4 linked regions of the Caenorhabditis elegans genome follow. The protein of the gene in region 2 interacts with the protein of the main gene of each other region in a pairwise test. Each region holds a gene or a part of one and is shown on either strand. Other genes may lie near its edges. The genes, in order: gtf-2E1, cdc-14, memi-3 and ndx-1.

Region 1 (4,756 bases), on a different chromosome or scaffold from region 2:
TTCTCCTCGTTTCAGACTATCTGGCTTTTTTTTCAAATTATTTTTGCAAAAAAATTCTTTCGAAAAACGTTAATAGAATAAATTCTGTTCAAAAATAACTGCAAAAAACAACACAGGTTAGTTAACAAATATATTTCCAGCGGAATCCAAAGAACGAGGTCTCGACAAGATTGTGTACTTCATCGGCTCAGCAATTGCTCCAACTTCCAACGGACCGTCTCTTCTCCATCACCAGCAGCTTCAGCAACTTCTTTTCCATGTCAGTAGTCGAAATTTTGGGTTTGAATTTAAATTTTCGAAATTTCCAGTTTGGCCGAAGTGTGCAGCTTCTTCTATCACAATCTCCATACCGTGATATTTCAATTCCATGGTCTCCATTCTACGCATCTGACTGGGATGCAGCTGACATGTTCCCAACATTCTTGCAAATGTTCGTCACGAAGCCCAATCTCCTTGCAACAATTAGCTCTCCGCATCAGGTATTTTTAGTCGAAAATTCTTGAAATGTCTGAATTTCTGTTTCAGATCACAAAGCAATCGTTGACCGAAGAGCACGCAAACTCGGTGGCTCTTACGATCTCACGAGCATCACTCTGGGAAACCTACCGTACCCTCTTCTGGTCGGACTTTGATCTGTCGATTTACGAGATGGAGGACAGGAAGCAAAAGTTCTGGCTGGATATGTACAAACAAATGTATGAGGAGTATTTCCCGTTCAAAAGAGCCAAAAATGACTATCAACCGTGCTCATTCACACCGATTTTTGCTCTTCAACCACATATGAGCATGTATTATAGGAAGCTGTGGGCTGAGGTGAGGTGGTTTTCCAGTGTTAGAAAATCATCAGAATTTTGATAAATACTTTTAAAAAAAATTATCTCAATTATTTCTGAAAATTGGCTCAATTTCCAGATGCTCGCCTTAGATATCCATGAGACATTTGACGAGGAAGACAATGAAGTGCAAACGGGAGAACGATTGAAAACGACAATATTGAATAGAGGAAGTGGAGATGTTGCGAAGGAATTGTTCAAAAGATTCCAGGTAGGGGAATCTTCTTTTTTTGACTGAAAAATTGGTGAAAAACGGCATTAAAATAAGCTGAAAATCTTAAATTCTGCATGGAAAAATCTCAAAAAATCGTATTTTTTTAAAATTAGAACGCTTTAATTGAACTCTATTTTTACAAGAAGAATTCTAAAAGAGTTCCAAACAATTACTTTCATTTTTTAAATTCCAGAAAAATGAAGCCATTATTTAATTTTTTTTAAAGAAAAATATTCATTTCCATTTTTTCAGGGCCGAAATCCATCAGTCGGAGCCATCTGTGATCACTACGCCCCACCAATGGCCATTCAAGATGAAATGGAAATGTCGGAGAATCAGAGACGATGAAAATTCCCCCCCGGTTTTTGGAGATTTTCCATCTCTTTTTCGCTTCTCACCGGGTTTTCACATATGTTTAGATGATTTTTTTTCTGTTTTTGTTATATTTTTTTGATAGTCTTAAGAAGAAATAGGGTCTCATAGATTGTTCTCTGTTATTTAATGTTTTTCCCCTCATTTTTAATTTTTGTTTTACTTCAGTAATGAATTCTTTTCTTTTTGAAAATTTATCGTTTTTTGAGATATCGTTTTCCAACGATTGAAATATTTTTGTTTTGAAATTGAAAAAAATGTTTATGTTTTTTATTTAACAGGAAAAAAATTGAATTTGTTTTTGAAAATTACCTTTTCCAGGACATTGTGTTATTTTTTTAAAACCAATTTTTGAAATTTTTACTTTTTTTTGGAAATTAAAAAAAAAACGATTATTCCATTTTTTTTTTGGATATTTTTGAGCTGAATTATTTTTAATTTAAATTTTGCTCACTTTTTTGAACAAAAATTATAATTTATTGATCAAAAATTAAAATTTATTCCAAAAACTAAATTTTTCCAGGCATGTCATCTGGCCCAGCGACCTCCGGCTCATCATCGGCTCACACCGAGACCCAAGTGGTGGATGAGGTAACATTTCCGCGAAAAAACCCACTAAATCTGACTAAAAACCGTCTTTTTCAGATTCCGGAGGCACTCAACACTATATTGCTGATGGTGGTAAAGAACTTCTTCTCAAGTGTAAGCGAAAAATCTGATTTTTCAAAAAATTCTTGAATTTTTAATTTTCCAGGAGCACTTTATCATCGTCTACCACATAATGCGAGCCCAGTGCATTCGCGAGGAAAATCTCAAAGCCCGAATACAATTCGATCAGAAAATGCTCAGACAGGTGTGCTGAAACTTGCTTGAAATTCGAAAATTCAAAAAATTTGACAATTTCAGCTCCTCGCGTCTCTGAAAGCTGAAAAACTCGTGAAAGAGCGCACGATTACGCAGAAAAACGAGAATAATCGAACGGTTTCCATCATTTTCTACTATATAAACTATCGGGCTGTGCTCAACGTGGTGCGCTACAAAATCGATCACATGAGGTGTGAAAATATAATTTTTTCACTGAAAGTTTAAAATTTTCCAGACAAAAACTCGAGTCCCGAGAGCAAATGGACACAAATCGAGCTCACTATCGATGTGGAGCGTGTCAGAGTTCTTATGATGTGAGAAAATTCTTTTAAAATAGAAGAATTCTCTGAAAAAATCATATTTAGATGCTGGAAATCAATCGGATATTGGACGCTGAAAGCGGGCGGCTTATTTGCTGGCGGTGCCACGGAGATGTGTTGGCGGATGAGACGGTAGTACCATCGAGGACGACGAGGTACTTGGAATATCCTGAAAATCTGAAAATTCGGAAATTTCTGGGTTCTGAAGCGAAAATTATTATGAATTCTGATCGAGCTCAAAGCGACGAATTGAAAAATTTTCAAATTGACAGATTTTTGAATTTGTTAAATTAAATCTACAGTACTCTAAAATTTTTTGCAATTTTGAGCTCCAAAAAATTGATGAAATTTTACTGTTTAGGGTCTCCTTTCAAAAAAAAACTTCGGGTTACTGTATCTGCATATATATTTTTTTTTATTTTTTAAATTTCCAGAACCGCTGTGGCACGCTTCAACGAACAAATGACACCGCTCTTCTCTCATATTTGTGCTCTAAACGGTATCCAATTGGCTCCGCATCTCCTTGAACCGGATATCACGAAATATTTGGAAGATGACAAAGAACTGCAACTACAGCAACAACAAATGGACTTTACGTCGGGTGGAGGTGGTGGTGGACGGATACAGTTGGGAGGAGTCGCTCATTCTTATCAAAATATCGCTTCGATCAATTATCAGAATGGAGATGCAGTTTTTGTGGATTTAAATGCGGATATTAATAAGTTAGTGGCCATAAGTAGAAAAATAAACTTTGATTCTTAATATTTCAGGGGTCCTGTGGAAGAAGCCAAAATTATGCCAGAATGGCTCAAGGATAATGCAATAGGCGGTGGTGAAGCTTCACACAATGAGCATGTACTGGATCAGGCCAAGTACTTTTAAATGGCTTAACTTTTATATTTCAACAATGAAACCTTTTTTCAGAACCGAGGAAGAAGAAACATCAACGAAACAGCGACGTTATGGACCATCTCTGGACTATCTGAAGGAGATTGAGTGCAGTTCGGAGGAATCTGCTCCAAATGTCAAAATTGAAGAGCCACCTGCCAAGCAAATAAAGATGGAAGTCGACGAGGAAGCTATCAAAATGGAAGTTGACAACGACGAAAGTGAGGAGGAAGACTTGATCCACGTGGCGGGGCGAGCACTTCCGCTGAGCCAAATCACACCTCGAATGGTCGAGAACGAGATGAGTGAGCTGGAGAAGGAGAGCTATTGCAGTGTTGTGCAGGATCTTTTTGCAATGTTCTTTTCTCAACAAATTGCTATTCATTAAGTCTCGGTTTTTTGAGATATTACCGCCAAAATTTAGTGATGTCTAGGATGGTATAGAGGATTGTTTACTCTCCAATTCTCCTAATACCGTCAAAATGACAAATTGCCTTGAAATTTTTATATTTTCCCCTACCATTCCCTCTAGTTTTTCACCTGTTTCATCATCATTTCATCACGGTTCAAATCCTTTTTTATTTTTTTTCTCGTTCCAGAAATTTACTATTGTTTTAAAAATAATATTATTATGATTGTGTTGTTTTACTCTCATCATTTTACACCATTTATTCGAGTACATTTCAAAAATGAAACTTTATTTCGCGAGATTGAGAAATCGAGTTTGAACGTTTGGTTATCATTTACAGATTTTCTTTGCCGTCATGATGGACTGGACGAGAGCGCAGACGCCAGGTGAGCTGGAAAAAAGCGATATTGACTGGCGGGAATTTAAATTTTCAAATGACAAACCTCGAAAGTGACCTCCTGTCCCGGTTTCACGGCATATCTCTTTGGATGCTTACGGATGATGTCCTCAATCTGTTTGCCGGCTTCCTGGAAGAGAAAATTAAAAAGTTAGGCCATTGACAGGAAAATATTGCATCGCCAATGTTTCTTTTAGGATTTTCAAGAAAATTCAGAAGGATCTAATAAATTACATTAGAAACTCGAAATTTTTGTTAAAGATCTTTAAAGATCTCAAAGCTTTGCATTAAAGATCTCAAAGCTTTGCATTCAAAAAATGCAACCACGCTCTAATGGTAAAGCGCGGGTTTGGAGATCAACCCCCAAGCGCGCTCTATCGCACTCTCACACCTCTTGAGCGGTTCCCTTGACATCAATGTACTTCGTATGATCATAGTTCGCGTAGTGACACGAGATCG
Region 2 (6,416 bases):
CCTCGTCGTCTTCTTTATCGTATTTCATAGACTGAATATTTGTACGTATTAATTCGATATTATTATCCATTTACTTGCCTGTAAAGCTTCAATAGTGTCCTGATATTTTCCATCCGTGGGCATTTCTGTCATGAATGCAGGATGTTGATCAATCTCTTTGCACCAGTCATCGAAATCAAACGGTTTTCGTTCTTCTTTCTTATCAGACTGAAAATGTAAGATTTAATGTCACGATTGCAGAGATTTAAATATGAAATTACTTTTCTCGCAGCCATTTCTTCCATGAACTGATCTAGGTCGTCATCAAGTTTCTTCGCAAGGGCTGCTCGCTCTGACTCAGTGAATTTCTTCTTCTGGGGAAGATCCATTGGTGAATATTGATGATTCATTCTGAAAATTAACGTTTAAAATAAATATAAAACAAAGAGTAACCGAAAAGAATGCAGTTAAAACTTTATTTTCAGAAATTTTAGGAAATAAAAAAGAATGAGACGACACCAGTTTTAGGAATGCGATCTTGTGGAAAGCGGGTGTATGAACAAAAAACAACGCAAAAGAGTATATTTTTTTAGTTGTAAAATCTTTCAAGTTTAGCTTTTTGGCTTCAAAAAAAGTTTATTAATTGATCAATTACCCTAATCATAGTAAACAATTGTTTTTTTAAAGAAACATTGTTCTCAGGTTTTGCATTCTTCTAAAGTGAGTGGTCTCGACACACGCGCAAGTGCGCTCCGCTGAGAAAAATTACATTCAAAATTTATTTTTGTGTTTTTTTATTCATTTTTATTTTTCAACAATCTTTTCTTTTTCTCCTATTGTAAGACATTTTGCATAAAATATTATTTCAATATTTTTATAATTTAATGGAAATCTCCAATAAAAGAAGCCTTCTCTGCCATCAGCGGCAACAAAATTTCTCAAAATCTAGTTTTAAATATGAATAAATTTATAATTTAAATAGTAGATGCTAGAAACGTAATGAATTTCAGAAGAAAAAAATTTTAAATCTGTATGTTTTAAAATCTTATCAAATCCCAAATTTTGAATCATATTTTATAAGTATAAAATATAATTATAACTCTTAGTTGCATTTTTGAAACTGCCCAAAATATATATATAGTTCTCAAATTAATCCAATTTCTTATATCTTCATTGAATTCAACAAAATCGATTTCTTCTCCTTTTTAATAAAATTCAATTCTTCTTTTCTTTGTTAGTAACTTGTTCATTTTCTTTGTATAATAACCAATGCAATACTGCCCTACTGCAAACAAATTCAAACACAAGACAGTCAATGTGACTGAACAATTGGCACGCTGCCAAACCCCGCCAAAGTCTCTGCGTCACCTTCATTTCCCTACTGTTTCCTATTCTTTCTCAGGGCCAAGTGCATCATCATTCTGTGTGGGAGAGATCGGGAAGGGACACTCTCTGCGACTCGTGTTTATTTCTTCTCCCAGCAGCCCAACCCAATTGCATGTCACATTTTTCACATCATTACTCGACATCTTATCACCTAATCGATAAATTCTTAGAACTCTCCTTTTATTTTCGTACAGTACCCGAATTCCTCTATTTCTTATTTACCTCTATTCTCTTGCTTTCCGAGCAGCTGAGCCAACTTTCGTTTGTATTTATCTAGCCACACAGCACGAACACAATCGTTTTTTTATTGCAGGCGCTACGGAATGTGCTAGTAGAGGCAGAACCATATAATAGTAATAAAAAAAATGAGAGAAGACCACTCCCCACGTCGTAACAATACAATTGAAAATACTTTGACAGAAGTGAGTTGTTCATTTTAAAATGTTTGAAAATCTGAAAATAATATATTTTAATTTCAGTTGCTACCCAATCGACTTTATTTCGGTTGCTTTCCCAATCCTGATGCTATCGACAAATCAGATAAATCAGTAAAGAAAACTTGCTTCATCAATATCAACAACAAGTTTCATTACGAACCTTTTTACGAGGATTTTGGTCCATGGAATCTTTCAGTTCTCTATCGATTATGTGTCCAAGTAGGCAAACTGCTAGAGGTGAGCTCATTCCAAGATTGATGATAGATTAGATAACACACTCGTTTAGGTCGAAGAAAAGCGAAGCCGACGAGTGGTGCTTTTTTGTCAGGATGATGGGACAGGGCAATATGACAAAATACGAGTAAATACTGCCTATGTACTCGGAGCATATCTGGTAAGTTAATGACAGAAATGTATATTTTCTAAAAATTCTTGATCTCTAAAATAATGAAAATGTATTTCAGATAATCTATCAAGGATTCTCTGCCGACGATGCATATTTGAAAGTGTCTTCCGGAGAAACTGTAAAATTTGTTGGATTCCGTGATGCCTCTATGGGATCACCTCAATATCTTCTCCATTTGCATGATGTTTTGCGAGGAATCGAAAAAGCATTGAAATTTGGATGGCTCGACTTCTCAGACTTTGACTATGAGGAATATGAGTTTTATGAGCGCGTTGAGAATGGAGATTTCAATTGGATTATCCCAGGAAAAATTCTAAGTTTCTGCGGGCCTCATAATGAAAGCCGCGAGGAGAACGGGTATCCGTATCATGCTCCAGATGTTTATTTCGACTACTTCCGTGAGAACAAAGTTTCAACAATTGTTCGGTTGAATGCAAAAAACTATGATGCTTCGAAGTTCACAAAAGCCGGATTTGATCATGTTGACTTATTCTTCATAGATGGAAGTACACCTTCTGATGAAATCATGCTGAAATTTATAAAAGTTGTTGATAATACAAAAGGAGGAGTCGCTGTTCACTGCAAAGCAGGTCTCGGGAGAACTGGGACTTTGATCGCTTGTTGGATGATGAAAGAGTATGGATTGACTGCTGGAGAGTGTATGGGTTGGCTACGTGTATGTCGACCTGGCTCAGTTATCGGACCACAACAACCTTATCTCATTGAGAAACAAAAGTTCTGTTGGTCACTGTCCCAATCAAATGGTGTTCATCTTACTCAAAACAAAGAAGAAAAAAGAAATGTACGACGTCTTGTTAATCAAGTGGATGATATAAATTTAGGAGAAGAAAGGATATCTCCGAAAAGTCGAGAAAACACTCGTCCAAATATCCTTCGAAGGCGTGTGCAAGTTCAAAATGGAAGGTCAACTGCTCCAGTAACAATAGCCCCTGCTGGAACATCCGAATCTAGAAGATCCACTAAACCATCTCGTGTCGTCGATGAGACTGCTCTAGACGATCAAGGAAGATCACAAGGCGACCGACTTCTACAATTGAAAGCCAAGCATCAACACGAATCAGAGACAACAAGTCCCAACAGTTCCTCGAGTCGGAGATTTGTCAAAAGTTCAACACCACAAATGACTGTTCCGAGCCAAGCATATTTGAATCGAAATCGTGAACCAATTATTGTCACACCGTCAAAAAATGGAACATCATCTGGAACGAGTAGCCGTCAGTTAAAAACAACACCAAATGGAAATGTTGCTTATCGAACTAGAAATTCATCAGGAAATACCACGTCAACTCTTACTAGAACTGTAAGTTATAAACAAACTTGGTATATTAAAAATGAGCTCTCATTCAACGCCAGAAAGTTTTAGTTTAGCCATAAACAAAACAGTTTCAGGGAAACGAGAGCTACAGATTCCACAACTCGTTGTTCTACGAGGTATAACTCTCACTCATTGTGTGCTCAAACCATTTTCTTTTTTCCCAAACAATTTGCTTTCAGTTTAAACGTGGTGTGAAATATTTTAGAGTTGCTTTATTCCTAATCCCTCATCATACCATTGTTTTAGATTACCATAATCAATTGAGATATTACTCAGATGCAAAATTCTGTGGTTTTTGCGGCAAAAATATCGTGCCCGGTCTCGACACGACAATTTTTTTAAATGCAAAAGAGCATGCGCCTTTAATAGAGTACTGTAATTTCAATCTCACGCTGCTGCGGAATTTCGTCGATTTTTCCGCAATAACGAACATTTAAAATTACAGTACTCTTTACGCCGTTGTGCGCACGCCTTTGTGCCGAAACCGGGTACCGTATTTTCTGAGCAAAAATTTCAATTTTCTGCGCCTTTGTAATATTCAATATTTTCATTAATTTATTTTTCTTTTTTTTCAGCCAGCATCTGCTGTATTCCCGTCAATGGCATCTCGAAGAAGTGAGACCACACGATACTTGTCACCGACTACACCAATAAAACCAATGTCCCCTTCATATACCGATGGAACCAGCCCCCGCTATAAGGCGAGACTCCGATCTGAAAATCCAATTGGAAGTACCACATCTACTCCATTCAGCCTTCAACCACAGGTGAGTAATTGGGGAAACTAAATTAGATAGATACATTGAAATTAAATCTTCTCAAAATTCTGCATGATAATTTATTTGGTTAATTCTTCCCACTTGCATGCTCCTTCTTAAAAGGACCATAATCACATCCCCGTTATTTATTTTAAATATCGTGACGTGGCAGTGTTGTATCTCGTTGCAGTTTGGTCTTGTTCGAGTGCCTCCTGATTCACCGCATAGTATAATGGCTCATCGTCCACCACCGACAACGTCGTCTCGAGCTCCACTTTCTCCACATAACTATTCAACAACTCAAGGATATTCGACATCGTCTCGTGGATTATACGGAGACAAGAAACCATTGGCACGTGGATCGGTTTCCACTTCAACATTACCGTCAATGTATATGACAAGAAGTTGTGAGCGGAAATGATGAATGTACACACTACCGTATCCCTACTCCTCTCACATTGCTACTCTCAATTCATTCAATCATTTTGTTGCCTTTTCTATCATCTTATCCGAGCCTACGGTACAGACAGTTTTTTATTTCGGGTGAACTTTGAAACTTTCTGAACTATATAAATTCAAGGCTGTTCCTGTAAATACCAAAAATTGAAGAATTTCTGTACAACGAACAAGATAGCTGCTCTTGCTCTAAAAATCAAATCTCGATATTGTCTACTAAAACCGTGCTCTTTTTTATTACACATTCTGTATGCTTTTCTTAGTTTGTCACGTGTGCTCATGTTGCTCCTTTTACATTTTGCTCTTGTTAATTGTCGTACTACATTCCATTTTATAGCATCTAACCTTCCTATTTGAATTTTGAACAGATTTAATAAACCTCTTTTTAAAAAAATCTATTCTTTCTTCATCGTTCCAGATAACCAAATGCTCTTTGACTGCTGAAAGCAAGCCACCAAAGCGGATACTCTCAATGCCAGGGACTTCTAAATCTACGTCCTCTCTCAAAAAAATTCAAGTCTCCCGACCAAGACCGTATCCATCAACAGGGGTTCGTGTAGAGCTATGTGCCAATGGGAAAAGCTATGATATTAGACCAAGGAAAGAAGCTCACGTTATTCCTGGAGCTGGTCTCGCAGCGAATACAGAAGCTCTTTTAGGGGTATGTAAACTTGTGAACACTTTGAGTTAGAACTTCATCAAGAAATATTAAGGCTCAATTTTTTACAGAAAAGAAGAAAAACTGCCTCGTAATTCGTAAGAACGACATCGAAATCAGATAAACTCTCAACTTCTCATAATTTTTCAAATTTCATAATATTCACTAGTTCTCAAACTTTTATCCTATTTCTAAAATACAGCTCCCAGCAAGCGATTGACATTTTACCTTGTCTAGTCCTTTCTCCGATAATAATGCCATAATATTACATCTGCCTTTACAAACCTTAGCTTTCAAACTTGTCGATCGAACGACTTTTGTATTCATGAATTAATCATTGTATGTATATTCAAAAAACTGTATCATAGTGCATGCCAACTGACGCAGGCGTCGAAAAATTTTATGTATTATTGATGGTTTCATTGCTTTATTCACTTTATTCATTGGAAAATTGTAAAATTATTGCTTGATTATAAATCCTAATAAATCTCGAAAAAAGTGTGCGGCGATATTGCAGTGGGCGGAGTTTCAGAATATTCAGTTTTAAATTTTGATATAATTTTTCTCTTTTGATTTCCGAAAATTGAGCGTTTTCTTTTAAATTCTATTTTTCAGATGCTAGAAAATAATAAATAAATATTTTTATAATTTTTTAATGTACAAAATTTATGTTTCAGAAATGTCTGAAAATGGCGCAGTGGAGGTAGAAATTACAACATCGTATGTCGAAGATAGGAAAGCCGCGGAACAAATGTAATATTCTGAGTATTCGGTCATAAAAATTTAAATCTAAAATTTCAGAGATCCCTCGTCAACACCACCAGAACCAAAAAGACGTTTCGTGCTGGTTTCTCGAAAAATTGTCTCAAAAGAGGTACCATCTGCCGGCCCTACGTGCAGCAATGATCCACGATTGAATTATGCGAGTACTAGAAAGCTTCCGATCAAAATGTATTTAAAAAAGCGTTGAATATTGACTTTGAAAACTTTTTTTCCAGCA
Region 3 (3,488 bases), on a different chromosome or scaffold from region 2:
TTTGTGAAATCATGGAGAATACGAAGACATTTTTCATGAGTCCGTCCGTCCTCTGTTCTGAAAATTACAAATTAATTCACCTTATTAATGATAAAACTACCGTACAAATTATAAATAAATGAATTCCACATCAACGGATTATTTGTTCTTTTTGAAATCAGTTTATTGATTGTGTGCACCGCCCATACATACTCGTTATTCTGAAAAAGTATTTAGAAATTTTGAGATTCGAGTTGTTTACCCAACCTCCGCGAGTTGAGCACCAATAGCTTTCCCCATAGAGGTTTCGCAAATGATGTCAAGAGTGCAAAGGGTTATAACGGAGAGAACATCAACTTCTTCACTGAAAAGAAACATTTGAACGAGTTATCAATTAAAATTCTTACTCTGCTCCGAGGCAACACAATTTCTGAACCAAAATCTTTGATTGCTCGTTAAAAATCGGCAAAAAATCCTTGAGAATATCATAATGGAATGTTGGTGTCAATAGTTTTCGTTTTGGACGCCATTGTTCCTTTTGGCTCGTCAAAATACTGATTCCAAGCCATGGCTCGAGCAAAACGTATGCGAACCCTTTGTTCAGATGTTTCGTCGATGAGAAAATTGGTTCAACAAGATCGGCAGAGTAGAGCATCAGACATGGAAATGGGCCAATCCAGAGAAGACACATCCGTGGATCTGGATACAAATATCCCATTCCAATCACTTGGTTCATGAATCCCTCTGGATCGGGCTTGGTGATGAGTCCGTGACCAACGATTGGATATGATCGTGGCTGATTGAGGTGCTGGAAATTTATTTGAGTTATCTTTGAATGCATTTTGCAATCTGACCTTCAAAACTTGACGCATTCTCAAATGTTTGTAGAGAAGCCAAGCGATCACAGTCGCCATAGCGAGAAGTACAGCGGGGATGATGACCCCCATTGCAAAACCTTCTGAAATAATTTATTTGTGCGAAGAAACGAGCAAAACGCGTTTAAAACATGAGAAAAAGCGTTTGTTAAGCTTTGGTTCTAAAAAAAGAAAAAAAACGAACAGTTTTTGAATCAACATTCAAATTTCACGCATGTCGTAGTGAGACCCATCTGAAAATCGCCATGCGCCTTTAAAGAGTACGGTAGGCTCAAAAAAATTCTAAAACTGATTTTTGTTGTTTTCTGATATATCATGATATTTAAATCTTGATTTAATGATTAAAAACTTTCAATCGCGTTAATTTTTCAACAAAAAAAAAAGAAAACAAATCCAAAATTATTTTTCAATAAGTATTGTACTTTTTATGAATGCATCGCCTATTTGACCTATTCGATCTCCCCCGCGAAAAGTCAGCGCAACAATTGTGTTATTTTAGGCCCAACGAAAATTTTTGATTGTGAACATTCTTCTACTTTGCTGATGTTCAGAGAGCCGTAATGAAATTTCATAAATATTGTTTTATCGGTGAAGCATTATTAATCTGTTAATCACTTGAGTACATTGTTTTTTTTAAAGTTTTATCTTTAATTTTTGCTTCGAATTCTTATTTTTCCATTAATTTTTCAAACCAACGTTTTTTAGAATGTCAGCTCCGTCCCGTACCGTTCTTCGCGAATTGACGGCGACCAAATACGTGGCCAACTACACCGATGAATATCAATTGGAAACCGCTCGAGCCGGTTGCTCAGCCCTCCCACCACAACCCAACATCAATCATGATGCAATTATCGAAGGGCATGGAGAAGACGTGGAGCTCGTCGAGGATAAGAACTACCGTTCCCTGCATCGTATCGATGAAACTCCAAAGCTCGTCGACAAGAAGCCGAGCAAGGCAATCATCCGCGATGAAGCTGTCAAAGTGCTAAGAGACATTCAAACAATGCCGATTGAAAATCTCCGTCTCAAGCGCTACGACTTCTTCTCGCAAAGATGGTTCAACACGACCAGAGAATCGGAGAAAGCGCTTGTCGAGCACGTGCTCCTTCATCCGAACCAGCGACCACACTATTTCGCCGCTCAGTGCCGCATGCTTTCGGCCGAAGATATCTCCAGTCTGATTCTAGTTAGTTTCTTGAGTATATTTTTCCCAAAAAAATTTTTTTATTTCAGACTTCCCTCCTGGCCGAGCCGAAAGAGACGGGTCAAAATGTGGTTCGATTTGCGATCCAGGCAAAGACTGCAATGCCGTTCCAGCAATTGTTTGCAATTCTCGAAAAACTGGAGATGGAAATCGAAGGCTTCCAGATGACAGACAGCTTTGTGGTGGCAACATTGATCCGATCACAGAGCAAGAGTGTACGTAAAATAGTTTTCTATTTCACACCGATAACTTTTCATATTTCAGACTACCACTCGTCGCCTGCGAACAACAAACTGCCGGGAATACGGAAATCTCGAGCCAGGACTCGATTCACAAGGCCGACTGATGGCCTCGACTGCATCAATCACGTGTTCGATTCGAGGAAAGCGCCACGTGGAAACGAGGATCGTGTACAATAACAACTCGAGCGCCAGGGATCCTTTCCGGAGATATAGAGTGAGTTGAATAGCAATAATTTATCGGTTTCCAATTTATAACGTTTTCAGTACATCGAATTGGAGCAAACGGTGAAGTGCATGAACCGACGAGTGCAGATTGTCGAAGAGCCAGTCGAATTTCATGAATTCGAGGTCGAAAACGATATGGTCTCGTTGAGAAATGGAATGGTGCTTGTCGACGACCTAATCTCGTTCCTCGAAACATTCGAACTGGATGAAGAGTGAATTCATTTGTCCAATAATTAGTTATAATGTGCATAAGTTTTTGTATATATCTATCTGAATAACTAAGTGGTTCCTGTTAAATATATCAACTAACTTTCCCCTATTTTATTTTCCATTCCTCCAACTCACCATGACCCTCGAATATTTTGTTTATGTTCAACATGTATATTGCTTGAATTAACTTTACCAAATCATGAACTGGTTGATTTAAAAAATCTTTTTAACATGACTCTGAAAAATTTTTCAAATTAAATTCTTCTGATAAGCTGATAATTTTCTGGTTTCAGATATCAAAATTTTTATACAGCCGGGTACAATGATTTACGATATGGAAGATGCCTCCAGCCTAAAAAGATGAATTCGAAATTAGAATTAATGAACGCAAATTTCTGAAAACGCTGGCAATTCCAGCTTGCGACATGCAACTTTTCGATACTTGAGGCTTGATAGGCAATTGGCCACATTACATAGTGATCATAATTCTGCAATTTCTAAATGTCGTTTCCTGACCGATATCTTGGCTCGAAAACATGTGAAAACTTATTGACAGTAATACTGATTGAATTCAAGCAAACATATTATTCAAAATAAATGTAATATGAAATATCTTTAGGATTTTTTATATTTGTGGCCCTAAAGAGGGCCGTTGGGTTCGGTGGGTTTGTTTAAAGAAGAAAGTTCTTACTCCTTATCTCCTCCAGTCTTCTTTGGGAGAAGAACGGCTTGGATGTTTGGAAGAACTCCTCC
Region 4 (4,773 bases), on a different chromosome or scaffold from region 2:
AGCACTATAATTAGTCTAATATCATATAAACTTGAAAAAAAACGTTGCCACGGTGGGGACTCGAACCCCGGTCATTTGATTGGAAAAGGCTTTCGGCGAAAATCCCACTGCGCCATTCGAACACTTTTTAAAAAATGATTGAAAATCAAAATTTCTTGTAATTTTTGAAACTTCGAGCAATTTTGAGCAATTTTCGTTAATTTTGAGTTGAGAAATCATGTTTTTAACCGATTTTTTTCAGATCTACATGTGCCTTGTCGGTATGGCAAAAAAACGGCGATTAGCTGCACAAGCACCGATATTCGATTTCGACGAAGGAAATACAGATATTCTGCGAAAAACCTCGGAGTTACCGGATCTTCAGCCCCCGCCTGCATATGACGTGCTCCAAGAGCCACCTCCACCAACTTATAGCTCTTTGTTAAGGAGTCAGTGATCTCAATTTTTGAAAAAAATGATTTTTTCAAATGTATGTAATAAACTAATATTGAGAGTTGGTCTTTAGAAAATTAAAAAAAAAATAATTTTTCAAATGTTTATTCAAGAAAACCAAAAGCATTAAAGCATATGAAGTGACGGCCGGAATTGCTTCTGAGCCATGTGAAATCGCTGTCGTGTCTCCGGTGATTCGACGGATATCCAGTGATACCTGAAATTTCGGGATTATTTTATTTTTCAATTATTTCCAATAAGACTTCAGGTAGAACAAATATATGAACTTCTCTTTAAAAAAAACGGTTTAAAATCGATTTTTGAAAAAGAAAATTGTCGAAAATGTCCAAATGACGCAGTGGAATTTTCGACAAGAACCTTTTATAATCAAACTACCTGGGTTCGAGTCCCCACTGTGGCACTTTCTTTTTTCAAAGTTTTATCAGACTAATTAAAAGTAATTAAAAGGTTTTTAATTCAAAATGTCTCACCGCGGACTCCGAATGATGGCTTTTGAAGCGGATTGCTTGTGCTCGCAGTAAACCCTTATTGAGACTCCGTGCGCCAGGGATTCCATTGGTTTTGGGTGGCATTTTATCCGCGTCACGTGAGACGGTGTAAATACTACATTGGCACCTTCTTCGAGCAAATGCTGAAAATTTGTAGGATCAGAAGAAAACTGAAATTCGTGAACCGAGCCGGCTAAGACTAAGCCTTAGCCTAAGTTTAAGTCTAAGTTTAAGCCTATGTTTAAGCCTAGACCTAAGCCTAATTTTTTTTACAAATCACGCTCACCCTATAACACTTGGATACAACCATCGCAAAGAAGTACTCGAACCCAAATTCCACCGTTGGGAATGGCTGTTCCTCTTCCAGCAGGTACGTCTCGTCCTTGATCGACTTGTGCACGAGCACCTCGGTTCGGAGCCTGAATAAACCTTTTTTTAGTGAATTTTCCCTCGCAGCTAAGACCCTTACCCATCCCTAGAGTGCTTGACAATCATAAACTCCAAAAATAATCCAGCAACGTTTTGATTTAACGGCATTACACGTGGAATAGAATCGACGGGGCCGTGTGTTCGGTATGTGACGGCCTCGTCGACTAGTCGGATGAAATCTCGGCCTCTGTAAAAAAAAATTGGTTTCAAAATTTAGGATCGAAAAAAAAAATTTCAGATACCTTAACTGAACCTTGTTGGCTTTGAGATCCTTGATGTTATACCACTCTGCGGCTAGGGATTCCTGATCGGGTTCTGTTTTCAGGTCACCGCCTGGAAAAATACAAATTCAGAAAATGGAATTTGAAAATGCTTTTAAAAAAATTTTTAACCTTTTTATAGCGTATTTCAAAAAAATTGTGCACGTGGCGCAGTGGGATTTTCGATGAAACCCCTTTCAATTGGGAGACCGTGGTTCGAGTCCCCACAGTGGTAAATTCTTTCTTCAAAGCTTCGTTTGGCTAATTCACGTGGTATCAGGGTGTCTGGCTTCATCTACGTATTTCTACAAAAAATGCGGGAGAAGAGACGCAGCCTTTCAAGTGATTTTGTCTGTTTAAGAACGTGCTGACTTCATTTTTTTTGGGCAAAAAAATCCCGCACTTTTTGTAGATCGAACCGTGATGGGACTGCCTGACACCATGTGCTAATTCAAGTGCGTTGAGATGAGAAATCATAGCTATATTCACTGAAAACGTTTCAAAATATCACGCTCATAGTGGTGAGGGTTTAATTTTGAAACATTTAGAGCAAAACTAACAGAATTGGGTCTAAAGGTACGAATTTTGCTCAAAAGTTGTAAATTAGGTAAAAAATTCAAAAATTGTGGTCAAAATTTGCAGAATTTAGTTCAAATTTCTACAAATAAAATGCCTGAACCTGAGAGTTTTTGGCGGGAAATTCAAATTTTTAAGGAACATTTTTGGCGAAAATTCAAATTTTTAATAGAAAAATAAATAAGCTCACTGAGTTCTCACCTGTAATATTACAATAAAAAGCATATCGATACCATCCGGATCCTTGAACTTGTAGTGACAGGAGTTCCACAACATCACAACTGTACCCAGTCTCCTCTTTAACCTCTCGTACCACTGCTTCTTCAATTGTCTCACCAGCTTCTACCCGTCCGGCAGGCATATACCATTTCCCACGACAACTTTTCTTGGCCTCTTGGATTAGGAGCACCTGGAAATTTGAATTTTATAAAAAATCATTTTTTGGGCTGAGCTACTAAAGCTTTTTCGTTTCGAGACCCATCGCCGCAAATAAAAATTACCTCTGTGTCGTCTCCCTGGTTCCGTAGAATAATTGCAGCAGCGACATAGTTTACATTGTCATGTAACCTTACATAGCGACATTCTGGAATATTTAGGTTTTTAAAAATTTGTTTTTTTTTATTATTTTTTTTTCATTCAAAAAGGTTTTTCAAGTATCAAATTTACAACAAAAAACCTTGAAAAACTCACTGCCCAACTGCATATCCGGCACCCTTGGCTCATTTTTCTTCTTCGCAACTGCCCCATTTGTGTGACCATTCAAGTTTTCTGGAAACTTCTATAATTTCCAGATTCCTATCAGTTCAAAGGCTTACCAACTACAGAATCACCATTTCCCATAAGCCGGGAGGCTTCTGGCGTGTGATCTCCGCTTTCGGCGATGTACTCCTCTTCGACTAGGTCCAACTTTCCAAGTGGCATTTTTCTGGAATAAAAATTGGTAAAACTGATATATCTGACGAAATTTTTACAAGAAAATGGTTCCGAAACGCGAAAAAATTTTTTGACAAAAAAGTGCACGGATGGTGTAGTGGGATTCTGGAGGAGTTGGTAATCTCAAGACCGGGGTTCAAGTCCCCACGGTGGCAAATTATTTTTTCAGTTTTTTTATTAAACTAATAAGGGTTTTTTGTGCAATATATTAGTTTTTTGACATTTTTAAAGAATTTTTTTTTTGGAAAAAATTTTACTTTTGTTTTTTGAATTTTTTTAAACAATTTTTTTAAAGTTTTTGGATTTTTAAAAATTTTTTGCAGTGGCTTAAAATCAATATCAATCCTATGAAAATGTTTAGAAATCGTTTTTAAAAACTCCTTCCAACGAAAAACGTATACGAACACCCAAACAAATACACACAATTGAAACGTTTTGGAAAACGATACATTGAGATACGCAGAGATAAAAAGGGCAAAATGCAACGGGCGGAACATCTTTATTAACTGGGCAATGAACTGCGCGAAAACTAGGGTGACGAGATGGGGCACGGCGATTAGAGGGAGAAAACGCCGGGATTGACTGGGAAAATGAGGCGGCGAGGTTTAAAACGGTCTGAAAAAAGGTTCAAAACCAGTTTTTACCAAAAATTTGGGTCATATTACAAAATTTCAGAAAATGTACGAATGGCGCAGTGGGATTTTGGATAGCTTCCAATCTCAACGCCGGGGTTCGAACCCCCGCTGTGGCAAATATTTTTATTGGCTTTTTTAAGCAGTTTTTAATGGCGAGATCAACATTTTGCATGTGTATAGCAGGAATTTCTTAGGATATCGTTGGTTTGGAGGGTGGGTCAAGTACCTTTTGTAGTATCAAATGTCTTCTATAGCTTCCGGTATAAATGACATAGGCTTTCTGAGCATCATAAATTGGAACACATGGTACATAGAGGAAATTATATTTTAGAAAAGAGTGAAAAATTGGTGTCATCTACCGGAGTCGAACCCCGGTGTTGTGATTGGTAGTTTTGGAAAATCCAACTGAGCCATTCGAGCGAAATTTTTAAAGTGTTCAAAAATGACTTAAACTTCAAAAAATTAACATAACTATTAATATTTAGAAAATTTCAGACTATTTGTAATCCCTGTGATCCAAAAATTCCCTCTTGATTCCGGCGAAAACTTGCAAAAGTGCACAAATCGAGAAAACCAAGGAATAGTATATGCTTGCAAGTATGCACACACAACGAAATGCAAACAAATCCATTAAATGGCGTCGTGGGGGCCCTCTCCCCGCCACATTGGAAGGCGGCTGGGTGACTAAAAAGAGCCCCTCCCGCGCCTTTTTGTTTTCTCTGACCTATTTGGAAATGGGGGTAGAGACGCAGAAAAACATGTTTTTCGAATTGAAATTGCACATTGAGCACTTTGTGAGAAAGGATTTTAATTGTCGGAGGTTTGAGCCAAAAATTGGCAGTTTTGGAAAACCAGTTTTCGGTTTTTCTTCATATTCAGATTGTGAGTCTATGATTTTCGAATTCAGCACTATCGAATTAGTCTAGTCACATTAAAAAAAAATTATTAAAAAAGGTGCCACGGTGGGGACTCGAACCCTGGTCTTGAGATTGGTAGATA

Evidence for each region.
Region 1: the proteins of cdc-14 (region 2) and gtf-2E1 interact in a two-hybrid assay, tested with the Caenorhabditis elegans proteins (one large-scale study listed by BioGRID).
Region 3: the proteins of cdc-14 (region 2) and memi-3 interact in a two-hybrid assay, tested with the Caenorhabditis elegans proteins (one large-scale study listed by BioGRID).
Region 4: the proteins of cdc-14 (region 2) and ndx-1 interact in a two-hybrid assay, tested with the Caenorhabditis elegans proteins (one large-scale study listed by BioGRID).

Annotation. Positions count from the first base shown.
Region 1 is NC_003282.8:17,253,359-17,258,114, forward strand, and holds gtf-2E1 (HTH TFE/IIEalpha-type domain-containing protein), read left to right. Parts: upstream 1-1,942; 5' UTR 1,943-1,944; coding exon 1,945-2,010; intron 2,011-2,064; coding exon 2,065-2,121; intron 2,122-2,173; coding exon 2,174-2,272; intron 2,273-2,325; coding exon 2,326-2,474; intron 2,475-2,518; coding exon 2,519-2,597; intron 2,598-2,648; coding exon 2,649-2,758; intron 2,759-3,037; coding exon 3,038-3,325; intron 3,326-3,373; coding exon 3,374-3,475; intron 3,476-3,527; coding exon 3,528-3,879; 3' UTR 3,880-4,204; downstream 4,205-4,756. Other genes in the region: eelo-2 (Peptidase M3A/M3B catalytic domain-containing protein), read left to right, coding at 141-259, 309-479, 526-813, 913-1,044, 1,300-1,395; phyh-1 (phytanoyl-CoA dioxygenase), read right to left, coding at 4,235-4,291, 4,344-4,427, 4,689-4,756.
Region 2 is NC_003280.10:5,588,688-5,595,103, reverse strand, and holds cdc-14 (Tyrosine-protein phosphatase cdc-14), read left to right. Parts: upstream 1-1,676; 5' UTR 1,677-1,730; coding exon 1,731-1,787; intron 1,788-1,844; coding exon 1,845-2,039; intron 2,040-2,088; coding exon 2,089-2,196; intron 2,197-2,266; coding exon 2,267-3,529; intron 3,530-3,618; coding exon 3,619-3,660; intron 3,661-4,119; coding exon 4,120-4,311; intron 4,312-4,492; coding exon of another isoform or gene 4,493-4,723; exon of another isoform or gene 4,724-5,156; intron 5,157-5,176; coding exon 5,177-5,449; 3' UTR 5,450-5,487; coding exon of another isoform or gene 5,488-5,511; 3' UTR 5,512-5,878; downstream 5,879-6,416. Other genes in the region: ttc-4 (Cns1/TTC4 wheel domain-containing protein), read right to left, coding at 1-31, 79-207, 261-368; C17G10.13 (THAP-type domain-containing protein), read left to right, coding at 6,096-6,169, 6,218-6,367, 6,415-6,416. UniProt on the Caenorhabditis elegans protein: Protein phosphatase that negatively regulates the G1-to-S phase transition to inhibit the cell cycle and establish quiescence in cells of multiple lineages including vulval, hypodermal and intestinal.
Region 3 is NC_003282.8:11,401,410-11,404,897, reverse strand, and holds memi-3 (MEiosis-to-MItosis transition associated), read left to right. Parts: upstream 1-1,559; 5' UTR 1,560-1,560; coding exon 1,561-2,040; intron 2,041-2,087; coding exon 2,088-2,273; intron 2,274-2,322; coding exon 2,323-2,514; intron 2,515-2,564; coding exon 2,565-2,741; 3' UTR 2,742-2,953; downstream 2,954-3,488. Other genes in the region: cyp-31A2 (CYtochrome P450 family), read right to left, coding at 1-57, 106-200, 247-343, 387-787, 834-926; his-65 (Histone H2A), read right to left, coding at 3,423-3,488.
Region 4 is NC_003279.8:12,677,565-12,682,337, reverse strand, and holds ndx-1 (Putative nudix hydrolase 1), read right to left. Parts: upstream 3,132-4,773; 5' UTR 3,128-3,131; coding exon 3,022-3,127; intron 2,975-3,021; coding exon 2,897-2,974; intron 2,790-2,896; coding exon 2,707-2,789; intron 2,616-2,706; coding exon 2,408-2,615; intron 1,704-2,407; coding exon 1,613-1,703; intron 1,558-1,612; coding exon 1,411-1,557; intron 1,361-1,410; coding exon 1,228-1,360; intron 1,085-1,227; coding exon 924-1,084; intron 650-923; coding exon 559-649; 3' UTR 526-558; downstream 1-525. Other genes in the region: T26E3.10 (resistance to Congo red protein), read left to right, coding at 242-436. UniProt on the Caenorhabditis elegans protein: Probably mediates the hydrolysis of some nucleoside diphosphate derivatives.